Arabidopsis thaliana: one gene and its partner. The protein of the gene in region 1 interacts with the protein of each later gene in a biochemical or structural test. Each region holds a gene or a part of one and is shown on either strand. Other genes may lie near its edges.

The links.
Region 2: the proteins of LHCA2 (region 1) and HCAR form a complex in vitro, tested with the Arabidopsis thaliana proteins (one study listed by BioGRID).

What each region holds. Positions count from the first base shown.
Region 1 is NC_003074.8:22,742,132-22,750,512, forward strand, and holds LHCA2 (photosystem I light harvesting complex protein), read left to right. Parts: upstream 1-3,382; 5' UTR 3,383-3,604; coding exon 3,605-3,657; intron 3,658-3,981; coding exon 3,982-4,169; intron 4,170-4,273; coding exon 4,274-4,788; intron 4,789-4,883; coding exon 4,884-4,901; 3' UTR 4,902-5,313; downstream 5,314-8,381. Other genes in the region: BRH1 (brassinosteroid-responsive RING-H2), read right to left, coding at 1-82; AT3G61480 (Quinoprotein amine dehydrogenase, beta chain-like; RIC1-like guanyl-nucleotide exchange factor), read left to right, coding at 7,847-7,981, 8,074-8,181. UniProt on the Arabidopsis thaliana protein: The light-harvesting complex (LHC) functions as a light receptor, it captures and delivers excitation energy to photosystems with which it is closely associated, here photosystem I.
Region 2 is NC_003070.9:1,278,792-1,289,439, reverse strand, and holds HCAR (coenzyme F420 hydrogenase family / dehydrogenase, beta subunit family), read left to right. Parts: upstream 1-2,820; 5' UTR 2,821-2,947; coding exon 2,948-3,029; intron 3,030-3,438; coding exon 3,439-3,544; intron 3,545-3,636; coding exon 3,637-3,721; intron 3,722-3,812; coding exon 3,813-3,924; intron 3,925-4,070; coding exon 4,071-4,155; intron 4,156-4,259; coding exon 4,260-4,301; intron 4,302-4,435; coding exon 4,436-4,514; intron 4,515-4,598; coding exon 4,599-4,650; intron 4,651-4,749; coding exon 4,750-4,812; intron 4,813-4,986; coding exon 4,987-5,084; intron 5,085-5,161; coding exon 5,162-5,197; intron 5,198-5,277; coding exon 5,278-5,339; intron 5,340-5,443; coding exon 5,444-5,471; intron 5,472-5,566; coding exon 5,567-5,646; intron 5,647-5,731; coding exon 5,732-5,801; intron 5,802-5,899; coding exon 5,900-5,957; intron 5,958-6,117; coding exon 6,118-6,182; intron 6,183-6,277; coding exon 6,278-6,372; intron 6,373-6,480; coding exon 6,481-6,571; 3' UTR 6,572-7,277; and 1 more. Other genes in the region: AT1G04625 (Polynucleotidyl transferase, ribonuclease H-like superfamily protein), read left to right, coding at 652-1,208, 1,520-1,609; YUC3 (YUCCA 3), read right to left, coding at 8,109-8,336, 8,669-9,040, 9,203-9,916. UniProt on the Arabidopsis thaliana protein: Probable iron-sulfur flavoprotein that converts 7-hydroxymethyl chlorophyll a to chlorophyll a using ferredoxin as a reducing equivalent. Catalyzes the reduction of a hydroxymethyl group to a methyl group. Belongs to the chlorophyll catabolic enzymes (CCEs).

The DNA of each region.
Region 1 (8,381 bases):
TTCTGATGAATCCGAGAATCGAAAGCGTTTGTACGAAAAGCTTCGGTAAGAAAACCTCTGTGTAACCTACGGGAAAGCCCATGGAGAAAGCTAGGGTTTTTAGAGAGATAATAATGAGTGAGCTCTGTTTTTTTTCCTTTTTTTGAAAAAGTTGATTTTTTTAATGTCATGAGGAGTTTGATTTATAGAAATCAAAGGAAGGAAGAAGATGAAGGAAGGAAGGAAGGTACAGGATTCGTCTAAACGACATCGTGTCGTGTAAGATTGATTTTGATAGAGTTAACTGACTGTGACGTTTGTTATGTGAACGTTCCAATGAGGTGAAAAAGAGTAGAAATGGGAAAAGATTGAAGTTGGACTGTGAGATTTGGTTCTGTCACCAACATTGTTGGATTTGGCTACGTGCGTCTCTACAGTATAACTTGGTTTTTTTTTTTTGGGAATAAAAGTATCTGCAAGTTGCACGACGATCAGCACACGTGGTACGTGCGGTTGATGTGGATTGAGGAATTAATTCGTCCTATTTTTTTATAAATGGAATTACGTTTTTTAATTTTAATTTTTGGGATTCGTTGAATGTTATTTAACACGTGAAATTTACACTAGGCAGTAGATAAATAGGGTTACGTTCTCGGTATTAGGACATTTTCATAAGAACAAACAAAAAATAGAGCACTAATTATCATTATTTTAAAAGACATTAGTATATGAAAATTTTATCAAGATCGTTAACTAATCTTGTAGTAAAGTAAGATCAAATGGCTGAGCTTCATTCCGTAAATCACACGTCAAAGAGGTCTCATGCGTTGTCTCTATTAGCATTTATACTGGTTATAGGAAAACAACAAATGTATTTGAAAAGTATAAAATTCTTTTGTAATTACATATGATAAGCTAAGTAGCTAACTACTGTATTAGGTTCTTTTCTTTATTTAACAAGTTTAGATATTTGTTTTGTGATTCTATGTTGGCATCAGTGGAGGTGTATATATCAAATAATGCGAGGGATCACCTAAAATATTACTATTTCTATAAACCAGTTCATTGCTTTTGTCTTTCTTTTTTTTTTTTGGTAAGCTGCTTTTGTCTTTCTTATATATATAGGAAACTATGCTCTAATTTGCACTACGGTTTGGATTAGTTTCTTATTTTGACTACAGTAATATAGTTAGGATTGCTTCTAGTTTTGAAAAAGATGATAATATGTTTTGAGATCGGTACAATGTTTAATTGAAATATATATATTTGATGATCAAATTAAAGGCATATTAGGTTGAGTAAAAACATTACAAAAGCAAAAGTTCAAAAAAAAAAAATGAAGAAAGCAAAGAGAAACGAGAGAAGGGTGTGTGTGGGTCAAGGAGGCTTTAAAGAGATGATTAATAAAGAAGAGGAATCAACCTTATCTATACCCCTCACCCTCAATTTCGAAAATGATAGATTATATATATACATAATTAATAATTATATAAAAGTAGAAAAAAGTCTATTGTTTAACTGAGTGGTGGACCGGAGAGAGGTATAGGAGACAAGTCGTCGGTGGCAATGATCCTTCCACCAACCGGCAATGGTTCATGGCTCAACTATGATCGGAGAAATGTCGTTTTTGCAATGAACATATATGTTTTGTTATCTATAATCGTATTTTAAAATCAAGTGGTCGTATATATATACTCTAATACTTATAGTCATGTGGAAATTTTTTCATAAGATGTACAACTTACTTACGATGATATATTCAAACTTAGTAGGAATTTATTTGGTTCTATAGCCTATATATAGTTGACTCACTCAAAAATAACCAGAGATAAATAATAAAATTGATGTTTTTTGGTAATATTTATGAAGTATGGGCCTTATTTATAATCACACGCTGAATTCTGAAACCTTATAATTAGAAAACGCATTCAAAAAAAAAAAAAAATAACAATAAGAAAATCTATATAGCCTAGTAGAACGGTCACAAAAACCCACAAAAGTATCAAAAACTCGTAAACCATCAACGTTTGAGCTCATTTTGTTGTTATAGTCAAAATCATTCAAAGTTATTTTGACAAGACGTATTGGTACCATAATAACGCATTAATACACCTATACATTTATAAATTATTTTATTAGTTATACACGATGGTAGTACAAGAATACATGTATTGTAGTAGAATTTTGTAATCAATTAATGTCACAAAATTCAAACCAAACTTCAATGAGAAAATTCATGATGCTCAACTAGTCAATGTGTATGTTATACGACAAAAAAACATGCAATTTGTCAATTACCATCGATCCAAAAAAAAAAACCCTCTAAAACGATAAGAGGAACGAAATAAGTATGGAGAATGGTGTGTTGATTTGGAAATGTTATAATGAGGCCGAGACAGCCACATGGCCCTATTGCTTGTATGCATATCATCTCATCTCCTACCTCTCCCACACTTCTCTTTGTCATGTCACTGTTTAATTTTTGAATACTCGCACCATCTCGTTCTCTGGTCCCATGATGCATCGATACGAATATACTTGATTGACTGTTTCTTGTTTGTTTCATAACTATATACCCTACTTTAAACCCTATTTGATCCAATATTGATCTTAGATTTAAGATGATGTTTCGGTGGAATATGAGGTTCAATCATTGCTTCATTTGTAATTAAATAAAATTTTAGATGATACTGAAAAAGTCACGACAATACAGATTTTTTTATTACACTATAATTGTTTTTCAAATAAAAAGATTGGAGTTCATGTATTCAGTCTCTGTTAGGGTCTTAGGAACCTTTTGTTGTTGATATTATACGATAAAGATATAATTAGCTTATTCTCTATCTTTATGATTCCTATTCCTACTGATGTCTTTATGAATCTCATAATTTATAGGTCACATAAAACATGGCTAATCAGTGTTTTGCTAATCATAAGATTTTATAGATGTGATTCGCAATTTTGTTTCCTACAAAGCAGGGGTGGTTTTCTAGATAGAAAGAGATAAACGTATACAATCATTCGCTATAATAATATATGATCGATTAACAACGATGTTTATAGATATTTAATCATTTTGCTAGTGAGTATACAGTCTTAGATCTCGTCGTCTTGTCTTTCTCCTACACGTCACATGGTACCACTTCATGTTTCTTTTTGCTTGGTACCACTCCATGTTTTTATTATCAAATTGGATATAGAAAAATTGCAATTAATTTGTAGAAGGTACATAAATGAGGTCCCGCTCCGGCAAATGTTAAAGCCGTAGTTATTTTCTTGAAGGCCTAATGCTATCAGCTGAAGATTAAAAAAAGCCCAAAAACATATGGGCTTTGGTATTCTTTATAAGCCCAGTCACTTGGAATACTAGCTTATATTTTCTTTCTTTAAAACTCAGTTAATAGTTATGTTCAAATAGAGAGAAAATCTAAGATGTGGTGGGACGAAGTTGCCACGTGCCAATGAGTTGACCAATGAGGAAACTCAGTGCGTTATCCGTAGGGATAATCAGATAAGCAGAATCTGATTTTGTCACCAGAGTGCTTTTATAGATTACACAACACACGTTCGTTTCTTTCTTCTTCTAACACACTCTGAGTCTTGAAGGTCAACAACGTCGAGAATAATGGCATCATCTCTTTGTGCTTCTTCTGCCATCGCTGCCATTTCTTCTCCAAGGTAAGCTCATCTTTTTCTCTCTTCTTATCAGTTATCATCACTTGCTATGTAGGAATGAGACTAAGATCCTTGTACAGTTGTACTTAATTAGTTTCGTTAACATGACTATGATAGTGATCCATTGATTGGGATTTATGATCTAGTATCCGAGAATGTGTGTGCGGTTGTAAAATTAGTGATCCATCATCCATTTAGATTAAACGTTGTGCGACTATTGTTTGTGTGATCCAAACACCGATCTGCCCTATGTAATAATATGAATTTATGCATGGTTGGTGTTATTGAAGTTGTGACTAAATTTTTAGGGCTATGATATATGTGCAGTTTCTTGGGTGGTAAGAAACTGAGGCTGAAGAAGAAGTTGACTGTTCCAGCTGTGTCCAGGCCAGATGCGTCGGTGCGCGCCGTCGCAGCTGATCCAGATAGACCAATCTGGTTCCCGGGAAGCACTCCTCCAGAGTGGCTAGACGGTAGCCTCCCTGGTGACTTCGGATTTGATCCTCTTGGTCTTTGTGAGTATATTTTTTTTGTTCCTCCTTGCATGCTTTTTAACAAGTTTTATAAACAAAATTAGACTATATTTATAATTTTCTGACAAAATTTAGACACATGTCAGCATCGGACCCGGACAGTCTAAAATGGAACGTACAAGCCGAGATAGTCCACTGCCGATGGGCTATGCTAGGAGCCGCCGGGATATTCATCCCAGAGTTCCTAACGAAGATCGGAATCCTCAACACTCCGTCATGGTACACGGCGGGAGAGCAAGAGTATTTCACGGACAAAACCACACTCTTTGTCGTTGAGCTCATTTTGATCGGATGGGCAGAAGGACGTAGATGGGCCGATATCATCAAGCCCGGTAGCGTCAACACTGACCCAGTCTTCCCAAACAACAAACTGACGGGCACAGACGTTGGTTACCCAGGTGGGTTATGGTTCGACCCGTTGGGTTGGGGATCCGGTAGCCCGGCTAAGCTCAAGGAGTTGAGGACCAAGGAGATCAAGAACGGAAGGTTGGCTATGTTGGCAGTGATGGGTGCTTGGTTCCAACACATCTACACTGGCACTGGTCCTATTGATAACCTTTTTGCACATCTTGCTGATCCTGGTCACGCCACAATCTTCGCTGTAAGTGTGATCCAAATCAAAACATATCTTTACTAAATGTTCATAACGTCGACACGTTTAATTGACTAGCTTTTGTGTGTGTGTTTTTTTTACAGGCTTTCACACCCAAGTGAGACAACGAAAAAGGGTTATGGGGAGGTGAATGCGTTTGTGTGTGATCATGTTTGTACAAATATCATTTTGAACTTAAAATTATTATGTACTTTATATAAATTGTGGTCGAATGCAAATTAAGGTTCCCCGTAACACTCTTTTCCTAACTCAATGATCATAAGATGCTTTTACATTGTCATTCGGAGCATAAAAGAGTCCATCTTAATTGTTTTTCGTTATTGTTGATATCTAAGCTTATGTTCTTCTTCTATCTCTCTCTCTTACCTTTCTCTCTTTCCGAATATCTCTTTCTCACCTTTCTCTCTCTCTCTTGCTTACCTTTTTCTAAATCTCTCTTTCTCACCTATCTTCTTTTCTCTCTCTCTCAATATAACATGACAAATTTAAATATTGAAAATCAACTGAAAATTTGTTATTGTCTAATGCATATTCACTAAAGTTAAATCTAAGATAGTAGTTATACGTTAATTATGAACATGATTTAGCAATTATACAACTTCCAAATAGATAAGGTGGAAAAAAGTGAACACATGAGTAAATTGAAGTTTAACTTGTAAATATTTTGTACAGAGAAAGAACCTCTATCAATTAACACTCGATAAATTAGTAATCACTATAAATTACTTATTTTTTCAGTCTCGAGTTAGATCAATGTAATATTTAACATCATTTGATAAAATAATAACTTGTTTGAAAATCTAATGTAACTAAATAGTCTAGTAATATCGTAAATTAATAATCATTATCATAAATTAATATAAACTTATCAAACATCAAAATTCCGATTACAAAAAGAATAAAAGTTTAGTTATGTTATTAATTATTAAAAATTTAGACGAAGGTATACTAGTTTTGTAATCCCATTATTAATAGTCTATAGAATGGTAACGGGCTAACGGCGATGGTGATAAACGGAAGAGAAGAGAGAGAGCTAGGGTTGGAGAAAGAGACAAAAGAGAGGGACTACGGAATGCAGAGGAAAGCTTCGGCGGTGTTCATAGGGTCGTAGAAAGGAGAAAAAAAACAGAGAGAAACGACGGAAGGCAGAGGAAAGCTTCGGCGGTGCTCATAAGAAACCCATGGAGAAGTCTAGAGTCGGAGATGTTGTCGGAGAAAGGAGAAAAAAACAGAGAGAGAAGACGGAATGCAGAGGAAAGCTTCGGCGGTGCTCAGCTCATAAGAACCATGGAGAAATCTAGCGTCGGAGAGAAATACAAACACACAACAGAGAGAGAGAGAAAGAGAGAGCTTACATTGTGAGATCAGAGCGAGAGCTTCCATCCAGAGAGAGAGAGTGAGAGCTTATATAGATGGTTTTCCGAATATATAGTGTGTGAGAACGAAGAACCATCTTTTGTTTTTTTGTTTTTTTCTTAAGTACTTTTATATAAAAACACGAGAGAGAGAGAGAGAGCACGGAGAAGAGGGAGAGAGACAGAGAAAGCAATGGTAATGATCGGAATATGGTGCACGGCGGTGATGATCGGGAAATGGTGCACGGAGGAGAGAGAGAGAGCTAAAAAAAACTTACATAGTAGTACATGAAATTTAATTGTTTATTTTTTGGGGTTTCTATGAAATCGTAGAAATATTATTTTATTAAATATGAAACTTACAATAAATATTATTTTCTTTAACCTAGAGAAATAGTAGAGATACAAGTGGATATTGGATATAAATACCTCTTTATCAAAGACATTTTATACAACACACATATCAATATTAATAATACAACGGTTGATTAAAGTCAAAAACAAAAAATCCCAACCCAAATTTTTTTAAGTTCACATATGTGTAGTTTGTTTAGCGTTTCAGAATTCTTTTCAAACCAAGTAATCCGACTTTATTTTTAACTGACTCGTTTTTTTAATTATGTTTTGGTGTCAAAACTAATCAACCCATGGAAAGTATCAACCCACATATGTGGTTTAGCTTTTTCATAAATATACATTTTAATCATTTCTTGTTTAGTTAGTGACAAGACATGTTACTTGTTTGATGACAAATATTTGTATCTCCAATTTCTAAATCTTTTAGCCAAATGAAATTATATATTTGACCAAAAAAATAAAACTAAGAAAAGTGAAAGAGTATGGGGGCATCAGAATCTCTGTCATGTGAGTACTATTTTTTGAACAAGCTAAGTAACGTCTTGTATCTATTTGATTTTTTTTTAGTATCATATAGCACGAGTGTCTTAATGAAATCGTTATTAGCTTCAATAATACTAAATAAAATGTTTACTTTCACAATATGTAACCGATTAAATTCGTAAATATTTTGTACGAAGAAAGGATCTCACTCGATAAATTAGTAATTACTATAAATTAATTATTTTTTTAATCTCGAGTGAGATCAATGTAGTATTTAACATAATTTAATAAAATAATAATTTGGTTGGAAATATAATGTAATTATATAGTCTAGTAATATTATAAATTAATAATCATTATCATAAATTAATATAAACTTATCAAACATCGGAAATTCAGATTAAAAAAGAACAAAAGTTTAGTTGTATTATTAATTATTAAAAATTTAGACGAAGGTATACTAGTTTTGTAATTCTATTATTATTACTCTATAGAATTAAATTAATAGTCTATAGAATGGTTTGAGTAAACCGAGAAATGAGAGAGAGTTCTCCTTGAACCAAGGATAATCAATAATTGATTCCCGGTTTATTCGTAAAATTAGATTCGTATCACCGAAACCAATTATATTCGCAAAATTAAAATCCGATCAACATAAACCGGTCGGGCAATTCCAATTTTGATGCTCCGTTTATTGAGCGTTTATTGATCTGCGACTGCGAGATCCATCTTCTTCTTCTTCTCCTTCTTCTTCTTCCAACGAATGTTCCTATGATCTCTGTGTATGAACAGAATCTGTAATCAGATCCATTGTAGAGAGAGATAGCCATTTCAATTCGAGGTAGCCAAAGATGTATATGGCTTACGGGTGGCCGCAGGTGATCCCGCTTCTACCTGGATCGCAGCGAGTCGTGTACCTTAAGCTCGCCGGCCGGCTATTACTGGTCGTTTCTCCGTCTCACCTGGAGCTTTGGGGTTCTTCTCAGGTGCTTTATCATCATCTCTCTGCATTTCGTAGTAATTGGAGTCTAGAGTTGGTTAACTTATATAGCTTTTTGTTTGATTTTCCCGCAATTAGCAACGAGTGAGGTTGGGAAAGTATATGAGAGATGACAAGTCGTTGCGAGAAGAAGGAGAGAATTTGCAAGCTGTGTGGAGTCCAGACTCCAAATTGATTGCTGTTCTTGTAAGTTCTTAGTCTCACTCTTTTCCTTTGCTAATTTCTGCTAATTGTTTAGTCACTATCAATCTTTATCCAGCTGAGAATTTATTGAATTGTTTATACAAAATCTTGTTATTGGATCTTCTCCAGATTGTTCTTTATGTGTAAGGATGAGAAAAAACATGTTTTTAGGTTTGATTGGTTGATGATTTCAGACATTCTAA
Region 2 (10,648 bases), on another chromosome or scaffold:
CACAACGTCATATTAATTTAGTATTTATAAAATCTTTTAAAAAAAAGAAAAAGGAAAAAAAAAGAGAGTTGAAAACATTTTTAAAAAAATAAAATAAAAATAATTAAATGCTAAATATACATGAAGATGTGAAAAACATGTTGGATTTGTGGAATCGCTAATGACCACGGTTAAATGGCGGGATCCAAAATCTGGTTAGATTTCACAACGTTATATTAATTTAGTATTTATTAAAACTTTTAAAAAAATCAAAAAAAATTTGAAAAACTTTTAAGAAAAGAAAACAAAAAATAAATGCTAAATATACATGAAGATGTGAAAAATATGTTGGATTTATGGAATCGCTAATGACCACGGTTAAATGGCGGGATCAAAAATCCGGTTAGATTTCACAACGTCATATTAATTTAGTATTTATAAAAAACCTTTAAAAAATTATTTATTTAAATGTTTTAGTGAAAGTTTTAGTTTTGGTTAAAATAATTTTTAAAGAAAAGAAGAAAAAAAGTTAGAATGAAGAAAGTCCTAGTGTAACGAAGGCCTCATACAGCAAAGCCCATTCCAAAGTCCTAGTGTAGCTCTGTCGTAACATTATCCACCAATTTTAGGTCAATTTTGTAAAACTAAACTACAAGATCATTCCATGGGAAGCTTCTCTCCGATATGCAAGACAAGACGCCAAAGAATGGCAAGATGCAGAAGAGTACACCCACCGTTTATCATCAAAACCTGACAGAGTAACGTCACAAGAACCAACAGCTAATCTCTGGACAACACCCCCTATTGGTTGGACGAAATGCAACTATGACGGCACTTACCACAGCAACGCTCCGAGTAAAGCGGGTTGGCTCTTACGGGATGATCGAGGAACCTTTCTAGGTGCAGCTCATGCTATAGGCTCTATTACTACCAATCCGATGGAAAGTGAACTCCAAGCTTTAGTCATGGCCATGCAACATTGTTGGAGTAGGGGCTATAGGAAAATTTACTTTGAAGGTGACAATAAAGAAGTCTCAGAGATTGTCAATGGTCGGTCTTCAAATTTTGCAGTTTTTAATTGGATAAGAGATATAAGCGCTTGGAGATCAAAATTTGAAGAATGCAAGTTTACTTGGACAAGGCGATTTTCAAACATGGCTGCAGATGCTCTGGCAAAACAACAACTTCCTTTGAACACTCAGTTTTATTGCTATAACTATATCCCGTTTGTAATAACTGATTTTTTACATCGCGACTTTGCTACAGCAAATTATTAATAAAGCTGATGTTTGAGGAAAAAAAAAAAAACTACAAGATCAAACCCTAGTTCCTCCGATGAAATTGCGGTTAGAAAACTAAATATTGATTGACCTAATTCAAAGAGACCTTTTTTGTGCAGAAACTAAATATTAAAAATCCAAGGTTCCAAGAGATCAAATAGGAATTTAAGCGAGAAGCAACATACCTGAGTCTCGTGACAACGGCGCGTGGTTTGCGTCAATACTTGGGACTCTCGGTGAGATCCGCCATGATTTGCTAGAGAGATCGTGAAACGCAAGAAAACAGAGAGACAAACGGTGGCGAGATCATTGATGGTGTGATCACCGAGTTACAGTTCCGACGGTTCTGACGGTGGTGAAAATGGATGGTGATCATCGAGCTTTGACGTTCTCGTGATCGGTGAGTTCTTTTTGTAAGAGAGGAACAGAAACAAACAGAGGCTAAAAAGACAAAAGAAGAAGAAGAAGGTGGATTTTTTGTTTTCTTCTCGTAATCCATGCTTTGGACCTTGTATCAGCCACTTATGATCATTTGCTATATTGATGCTTTCCAATTTTAGAGTATTGAAATGGGTTTCTTTGACAATCATTTTGAGTTAGTCATCATTCCTTGTTCTGAATCAAGAATTGGCTTTTGTTATGTTGTCTAGGTTCTGCTTGTAACTAGAGTAATGCTATTGTAGTCTCTGTTGTTTATTTGTAGAATCATAGAGAGTCGTGGAAGCATGTTTTAGTTGTTACTCTCGATTTCTTGTCGATGTTGTGGTGTTATAAATTGAGCGTTTTAACCAATACAAGTTAGGAGATGGTTAGTATGTGACTATGTGTTAGTGGCCATGTATGTAGTTCGATCAGATAATCTGAATGATGTGCTAAAGAGCTTGCATAGGAAGACTGCCTTTGTGTTAGCTTGCATAGAGACTTGTTGCAATATATGAGACTGAAAACTATTATGTGAAAACTTTAATTTGTGTACAAATATTTTTAACTCTTAAAATTAAACTAACATTGTACCAATTAGCACATGAAAGAAACACAGAATTCTGTGAACATATGATGAATAACTATATAAACACATTATGGATTCAGTTAAGGAGACAGAAACAAGAAGATGAATTTCAGATATATAGCAATAGAGTCACTTATAATCATATCAGAGCTTATACTTTATACAAATTATCACTTTAGTCCTTAAATTAAAACCGATTTAATCGACAATCTTGTTATTCTTTAAAACAATTTGTTCTTATTTTCAATCTTTAAATTTTGCAACAATCGACAGAACTTATCGTTATTCCGTGTTTTTATTTTCATATCTTTCTTAAAATGTTTCAAAATAATATATGTTTAATATTTTCTGATTTACAATAGTTATTAAGTTATATGAAATATAATTATTTTAAATTTTATTTTATTTTTCAGAAAACTCTTATAAGAGAGCTTACCATTAGAATATGAAAAAAAATTAAAACTCTCTTATAACTTTTTAAAAATTTTAATAATAAAAAAATGGAGAAAGCCCGTGAAAGAGCTCTTACGAACCAAAACCATTCAGTCCGGTTAAGAATTGGTTATCAAGTTTGGTTCCTAAAAGATATCCAAGTTCAAAAGCAAAAAAATATCTTCTTTTCTCTCTCTCTACTCTCTTCTCTTCTTCTCTTCTTCTCTTCTTCTCTGGCTGGGCAACCATGATTACTGTCGTCACCTCCAGGCTCTCTCTCCTTCCTCCAGTCTTCTCCGTCGTTAACTCTTCTTCTTCGCGTTCCAAAGGTGCTCAATTTATTTCTGCCACGTCTTCTCTTTATAGCACTCTGTTTTACACACGTCGTTGATTCTTCAGTTTTTTAAAAGACCCGTCTTATACAAAATTTCAGTGTAACCGATCCCTGAAATTCGTTAAAGGGATGAAATTTTATCTAAGATTCGGAGTTTTCTTTTCGAACATAGTGGTAATGTTTGTCGAATGCTTGATTTGGTCTTCCACAGCTGTCACTATCGAGTTTGAAGATAGAAATCTTGTGTTAACTTAGTATGTATTACTGCATAATGTCAATTCTGTTTGAAAGCATCAGAATTTCGGAACAGATTTTTGTTTCGTATAGCATCGATCTTTGTCTTGTGTGTTTTTATCTTCTCTCTGAAGCCTGCATGAACCCTTCTCTTATGGCTTTAATTGCAGATATGAATCTAGAGCCAAAAAAGAAGGTTAAATTAAGAGAAGACTGGAGAGAAAAGTCCAGACCTATCCCACCCGGAGGAACCTATCCAGCTAAAGACCATTGCAGGTTTTTTCTTTCTTTTTTGTTTGTTTGTTTGTTTACCTCACTATTTTTGTCTCATTCTTATCAAGATCCTTGGTGTTCTGATGGGTTTGCAGTCAGTGCGGGCTATGCGACACCTACTACATTGCCCATGTGAAGGAGGCATGTGCATTTCTTGGAGATGGAATGTCAAGGATTGAGGTAATGTCCATATAAATGGATAAGATTTGATACTCTTTTTAATTGATGGGCTAAGATTCTTATTTTGTTAATATTTTAAGTTCTTGTGCAGAGCTTGGAACCTGTTGTGCATGGTAGAGGAAGGAAAGCAGATTCCTTACAAGATACATATTTTGGGGTGCATCAAGAGCAGCTCTATGCTCGTAAGTTGAAGCCTGTCGAAGGTAAATAGACACTTCCCTTCCACTGTTCCACATTTTCTACTAACTTCTTTTCCTGGCTCAATCTAAGCTAGGGCACTTTTGTGTCTCGTTCAAGATGAATTTAGCTTAGCTTTGTTGTTTACTTTTCATTCTATTTTCGGTTGCAGGAGCTCAGTGGACTGGAATTGTCACAACCATAGCCATTGAGATGCTGAAATCTAATATGGTTGAAGCTGTCGTTTGTGTGCAGAGGTAAAACTACTGTTGAATTTCAGAAATGGACTAGGCTTACATTTATCGACCATGCTGTAGATTTTTCCATCTATCCATGTAACTGATTTATTGAAATATTACAGTGATCCTGAAGACAGATTATCTCCAAGACCAGTATTAGCCAGGTTTTCCACCTTCCTAATGTGGTTTATTTTGAGTCCATTCTTCTTCAAGTCGCCATTTTTTAGATGTGGATCCATATTTTGCTGTTACTCTGGATATAGAAGCGTATTGATGTTTCATTTCTTTTCATTCTAAGGACACCTGAAGAAGTTTTGGCTGCAAGAGGTGTCAAGCCAACTCTGTCTCCTAATCTGAATACTCTTGAATTAATCGAGGTTATTTGCCAAACCCTTATTTCTTGTTTGTGTTTTCAATCACTGAATCCATTTCACATGAACTTAGAATTTGTATTGTAACAGGCTTCCGGAGTGAAGCGTCTTCTGTTTTGCGGTGTGGGTTGCCAAGTGCAAGGTATGGGCTCAACATACTTTTTTGTGGACGTATATTTCAAGTTTCTCCATATCGTGACTCTCATAGTATTGTAATGCAGAGTGATTTCTTATACTGCAGCATTGAGATCAGTGGAGCAGCATCTGAATCTGGAAAAGTTGTATGTACTAGGCACCAATTGTGGTATTTTCCTCATCCTATCTAGATTTGTTTTTTCTCCAGAACTTTCACAACTAGTTCTTGTGTTGTACTTTTGAACATTCCATGTTGTATATGTTATTTCGGAGTCTTGTATGCTTAGGTCTAGAAATGCTTATACATTTTTAAACAAGTAAAAAGAACATCTTTGATTAATAGTGGACAACGGAACACGAGATGGACTAGACAAGTTTCTGAAAGCAGCTAGTAAAGAGCCAGAGACTGTTCTCCATTATGAATTTATGCAAGATTACAAGGTTAGCATTAATACAAAACCATCACTTATCTGTGCATTTTCTTTGGTGATGCCAATCTTGTTCAATTTCTCTTATAGGTCCAACTCAAACACTTGGATGGACACATTGAAGAGGTAAATTCGCTTAAAATACTGTGTTGCTCTGCAATTGCAGCTGAAAGCCGTTTTTAAAAAACTTTTTTTGGCTAAAGCAGGTTCCCTATTTCTCTCTACCTGCAAACGATTTAGTAGATGTCATAGCTCCATCGTGTTACAGGTAATACAAGTCTCTGCATTGTCTCTATACCTTGAAATAGATAACCTGTCGGAAATTTTTAAAACTTGTCTACAATTACAAACCCTATCTTTTTTATTCTGCAGCTGCTTTGATTACACAAATGCATTAGCGGTGAGTGTTTCTCTAGCAATTAAGATGTCTTTTCACTTAATTTTGATTCTGCCAATTTCAAACATTTCCTGATATGTATGAGCTTGTTTATCTAGGATTTGGTTATCGGTTACATGGGTGTTCCGAAGTATTCAGGTCTGAACATGACTGACCATCCACAGTATATTACAGTGAGGTCAATATTTCTACGTATTTTGACATGGACCATATAGGTTCTCGTGGTTGGATAAAATTAGTTTTGTTTATGCCTTAAACCACAGAAATGAACGTGGGAAAGAAATGCTCAGCTTGGTAGAAAACCTTTTGGAGATCACTCCAACAATCAGCAGCGTAAAGTTTCTAACATTTATATTTGTTGTTATATTTAAGACTTTAAGAGTCCACTTAACAAATAACATGAACAAACACACCTTTTGTTGTTGTTTCAGGGTGATCGGCGACCTTTTGTGACAGAAACTGTTAAGGCAGACGATGCTGCTAAGTTTGGTATGTTTTCAAACGTATTCGAAACTCTTTTGTTTCTTGAATCGTCTCTGCTTAAAGACATTCAGTTTCAAGCAAAGCTAGATGCCAAAAAGAAAGTTCTCAGCAAATGCATGCAACTAACATTGTGCTAAAGTCTTCTAACTAGTCTATAATTTCTTAGGTCAAGGTCCTGCTCAGCCAGCGCCACTATTTGTTGGAAACATTATTGCGTTCATCCTAAATTTGGTAAGATTATTTCCTTATGAACACAAACCGAGAAACAAGCTCATTGCATAAAAAGTCAAAGAGTTTCTTAACTTGCAAAACCATTCTTGCTTCAGGTTGGTCCTAAGGGTCTAGAATTTGCTCGGTACTCGTTGGACTACCATACCATCAGAAACTATTTGTACGTAAACCGCAAATGGGGAAAGCAAAGGTAAGATCTGAAACACACTCCTAGAGATAAAAGTTTATTGCGATCAACTGTGTATTTCTATACTATTGGATCGTTCTCTAATGACCAAAGCTGCATTACCATCTACAGAGCAAACACCCACATGCCATCATATGCCAAAAAGATAGTGGAAATGTACAACAAAAACGGCCAAATAGATAAAATGCTCTCCAAGAAATGAACATTTTAGGCCTTTCTCATGTAAGTTTCCAAATGTATATTTCATCCTACAAGTGAGTAAATGTACATTGGTCCTACTGTTTCTCAACTTGTAGTATGTTAGTAATATCCAAAACTATTTCCCTCGTGAATTTGGTAAGACACCGGCAAGAAAAGATGGGTCGGTTTGGTGTTTTTTGGCAGAGAACAGAGAATAAGAAACAGTCTAAATCAGCGGCTGAATCCAAATCAACCCATGTGGGTTCCTTCCTCCATATCTTTAGGTTAAGGTGATGTCCGAGTAAAAGGTTGCAGGGTTTTGCATGAGAACATGAATAACTGTTTTAAGAGGATGGGAACCAGACATTTACACAGTTGGGGGGAATTAGCTTTTAATGTCTTTTTTTTGCTTGGACAAAGAAGAAGGAACCATGGTTAAGCTTCACTCGCTCGCTCACTCACTCACTCACTCACTAACTTACTCATCACCATATTTCACACATTGGAAACTTCAAATTTTACTCTCTCTCTTTTTTTCTTTTTTTGTCTTTTTGTTAGTCAAGTCTCTGCTCTGCTCGTTCAATGACTTTGCTGCAGAGACTCTCAGACCTCAAGTGAAACTCATAAATGTCTCTGCTCTTTTGCACCATAGTTGATTTTTTCTCACCAGAGGCATTGTCCTAATACAGAGCATGTAAACGTTTTTTCTAATAATATATTTAAGTGAAATAAAGCTTACTTTGGTACCTTGAATTAATTTTGAGTTGCAATTTGACATATAACAATGTTAGAGAATTCATTTACGTATTGCATATTTTGGATCTGTATCTGTATCTGTTTCAGTATATATATATTTATAACTAGATCCAACATCATATATAATATATGATTTCACTCAAGTTTTTCTGAGAAAGTTGTATAATGTTATATTTATTATCCATCTGTGTTTCAAATTAGATACATTGTTCATCCCTAATGGATTTTGCATATCCTACAGAAATGCATGTTTCAGTATTTTCAACTTGTGTTCCCTGGAGGTTGTAATCCATGAAACAACTTTAATATGGACTGTCCAAGACAATCATGTGTAAATCAATCATTTGCCAAATATAATGATTACAAAATGGCTAATAATTCCTTAATCAGTTAAATAACAGCTCTAACTTGTGAGAGTATTCTTCCAATAATGAAACAGCATGAAATTAGTTGTTTCTTTTCCTGATCAACAACATCATCATAGAGATAACACAACATGCATCGTTGAGAAAAGAATTACAAAACCGTAAAATATATTTGTCATATTAGATTAAGCAAAACTTCTTACAAGAGTTCAAAATCTAAAATGAAGATTTAAAAAAAATACAACAACAAAATAAAGCACTCTTAAAATAAAAATACATAAAAAAGCCACATCTTCCTAAAAAAACAAAGAAAAATCCCCCTATTATTTTTTTCTTTTCACAATTCTCTTTTTTTTGGGGGTATTTTCTTCCGAGGAGAGGGCTTAATTATCTTCTTCTTTTTTTGAATATTTTTTTCCCTAAATTTGATAATGATGATTAGAAATGTGAAATACAACGACGATGACGAGCAGCAGCAGTTTTCTTCTGTTGCTTAGACTCTTCTTTCCACCTATTAGCAATATCATGAGCCACACTCATAGCATCAAGCGACGCACCAAACAATCCTTTTCTCGTGAACCCTACCGCATACAATCCCGCCTCTCCTTTCCATCCGTTTGGAAACGGGTTTTTTGGTATCCCATCATCGGAGAAGAAGTCGTTGTCCTGTTAATACAATTAAAATTCAACACACCAAATTAGTACACATACGAATTTATTGACCTAATTCTTAGTCCTAACTGTCATTACCGGATTTCTATTTCTAACCAAAAACTAGTACCACGTTTTTGTATCCTTTTCGATGAAAATATAAATGTTAATGGTTCATTTGCATTTATTGCTCACATTCGAAACACAATTTGAGTAGGGTTTTCACTAAACTAGGACCGGGTCGGGTGGTTTTTTTTGTGTGTTTTGTCTTCCGACATCATTAAATGTCTAAAATTTAAGCTAAACCTTGAGAAGAAACAATGAATGAAAGATGTTTTATTTATTACCTTAAGCCATGAAGGGACGTTGCTTCTGTATCCAGTAGCTAGAATAACGGAATCAATCTCAAGAACACGGCCATCTATTAGCTCAACTTTGCCTTTGCCGAACTTTATGATTCCGGGGACGATTTTGATCTTTCCCGATCTGATTTTGGGTAACGCTCCGATGTCAAGAACCGGAGTTTTGCCTTCCTTGTTCTTTAGCTCTAACGGTCCAATTTTCGGCCTTTTTAGACCGTATTTATCGGTATTCCCCAAGATAATCCTCGCCAGAAAGAGTATAGTCTTGTCCGCGAGCCAAACGGGCATATACTTCATCATCGTAACTCCTAATTCAAACGTTGATTTCCCAAAAATCTCTCTTGGTAAAACATGAACCTGATAAAATCAAGAAAGGAAAAAAAAACACAGACTATTAGATACTGCTCTGTTTTAGAAAACAGAGTAACAGAAACAGAGGATGCTCTGTTTTAGGGGCTATAAAGATTTGAACTTTTGGTACTTTTTTTTTTTTTTTGGTTTAAGACTTTTGGTACTTACAGCGCTACGAACGACCATCGATGGGTTTGCTCCGTGATTGTAGAGATCGAGAGAGACTTCCATACCGGAGTTTCCACATCCCACCACCAAAACCTTTTTCCCTTGGTACCTTCCACCGGATTTATAGTCACCAGCATGGAGAACATCGCCGCCAAAATCCTCTAGACCTTCAAAATCCGGCACAACTTTCTCAGCGTTCTCTCCCGTTGCCACCACAATCCATCTGCATATATACTCAAACTCGCAAGAACCGAGCTGACCCATGTTTGAAATGGTCTTAACCCGCCACAGCCCGAACGTCTCATCATATTTAGCGGACTGGACTGTCTCGTTGAACTTAGGGTTGATGTCAAAGTTGGCTGCGTAGGACTCAAGGTACTGAATAAACTGAAACTTGGTAGGGTACTCAGGGAACTCGTCCGGGAAAGGATAATTGGGTAATTGGCAAAACTGTTTAGGTAGATGGAGTTTGAGACGATCGTAGGTTCTGTTTTGCCATAATGAAGCAATGCAGTTAGCTCGCTCGAGGATTATGAATGGTACCCCTTCACGTTTCAAGCCCGCAGCAACGGCTAGACCTGATGGGCCAGCTCCGACGATGACGGGTCCATTGACCCAGATGCAACGCCGGGAGAAAATGTCGCTGCCTTCGGGGATGAGGTTTTGAAACATACTCGTGATGTTGATAGACTTCTTGTTATTATTTCCATACATCTTCCACAGAGTTTAGAGTTTGCTTGTCTGGTTGTGAGGAGAAAACAGAAGAAATTTTAAGAATGTAGAAGAAGAAAAAAGAAAGATTTTGGAAACTTTTTAAGACAAGAGGATGGAGATGTAAGTGTATGTGTGTGTTCTGTTGGATTGGAGAAGGAGATGTATAAATAGAGAAGACGACTTGATGCAAATTGGTAATTGTAAAATTAGTAAAAATATTATTATTATATATTTAGCTTCTGAATGTTATTTATATCTCAAATGATAAGCTTTGCAGCCCACCATTATTTCTTTATTTTTTTTTTTTCATATGTCCCTTACTTATTGGTAATAAATTAATCCTCGTCCAACAAATACAATAATTAGTCACAAGAAAAGTGGTTCAATATTTTGCATCTTCTTTTCTTTGCATGGCAAATATCAACTACGTATACAACAAATATACAAGATGAAGATTGACTCTTTTAATTAGGAAAAGAACTACCAAAATGTTTAAAATCATTAAGAGAGATTATGGTCGGTTCAGACCGAATTAAAGAGACTATTTTTAATCTCCTTTTAGTTGCCAAAATCTTATAGTCCAAGTCGAAACCAGATAAAATAGAAAATTTAAAGCGTATTGAGAGAGAAGATATACATGACTTTGGATATACACTTGAGAAGAGAAAGAAAGCAAGATAATTAAATTTGATGTCAGGTTGCTGCCAACGTGGGAATCATTTAGGGTTAAAA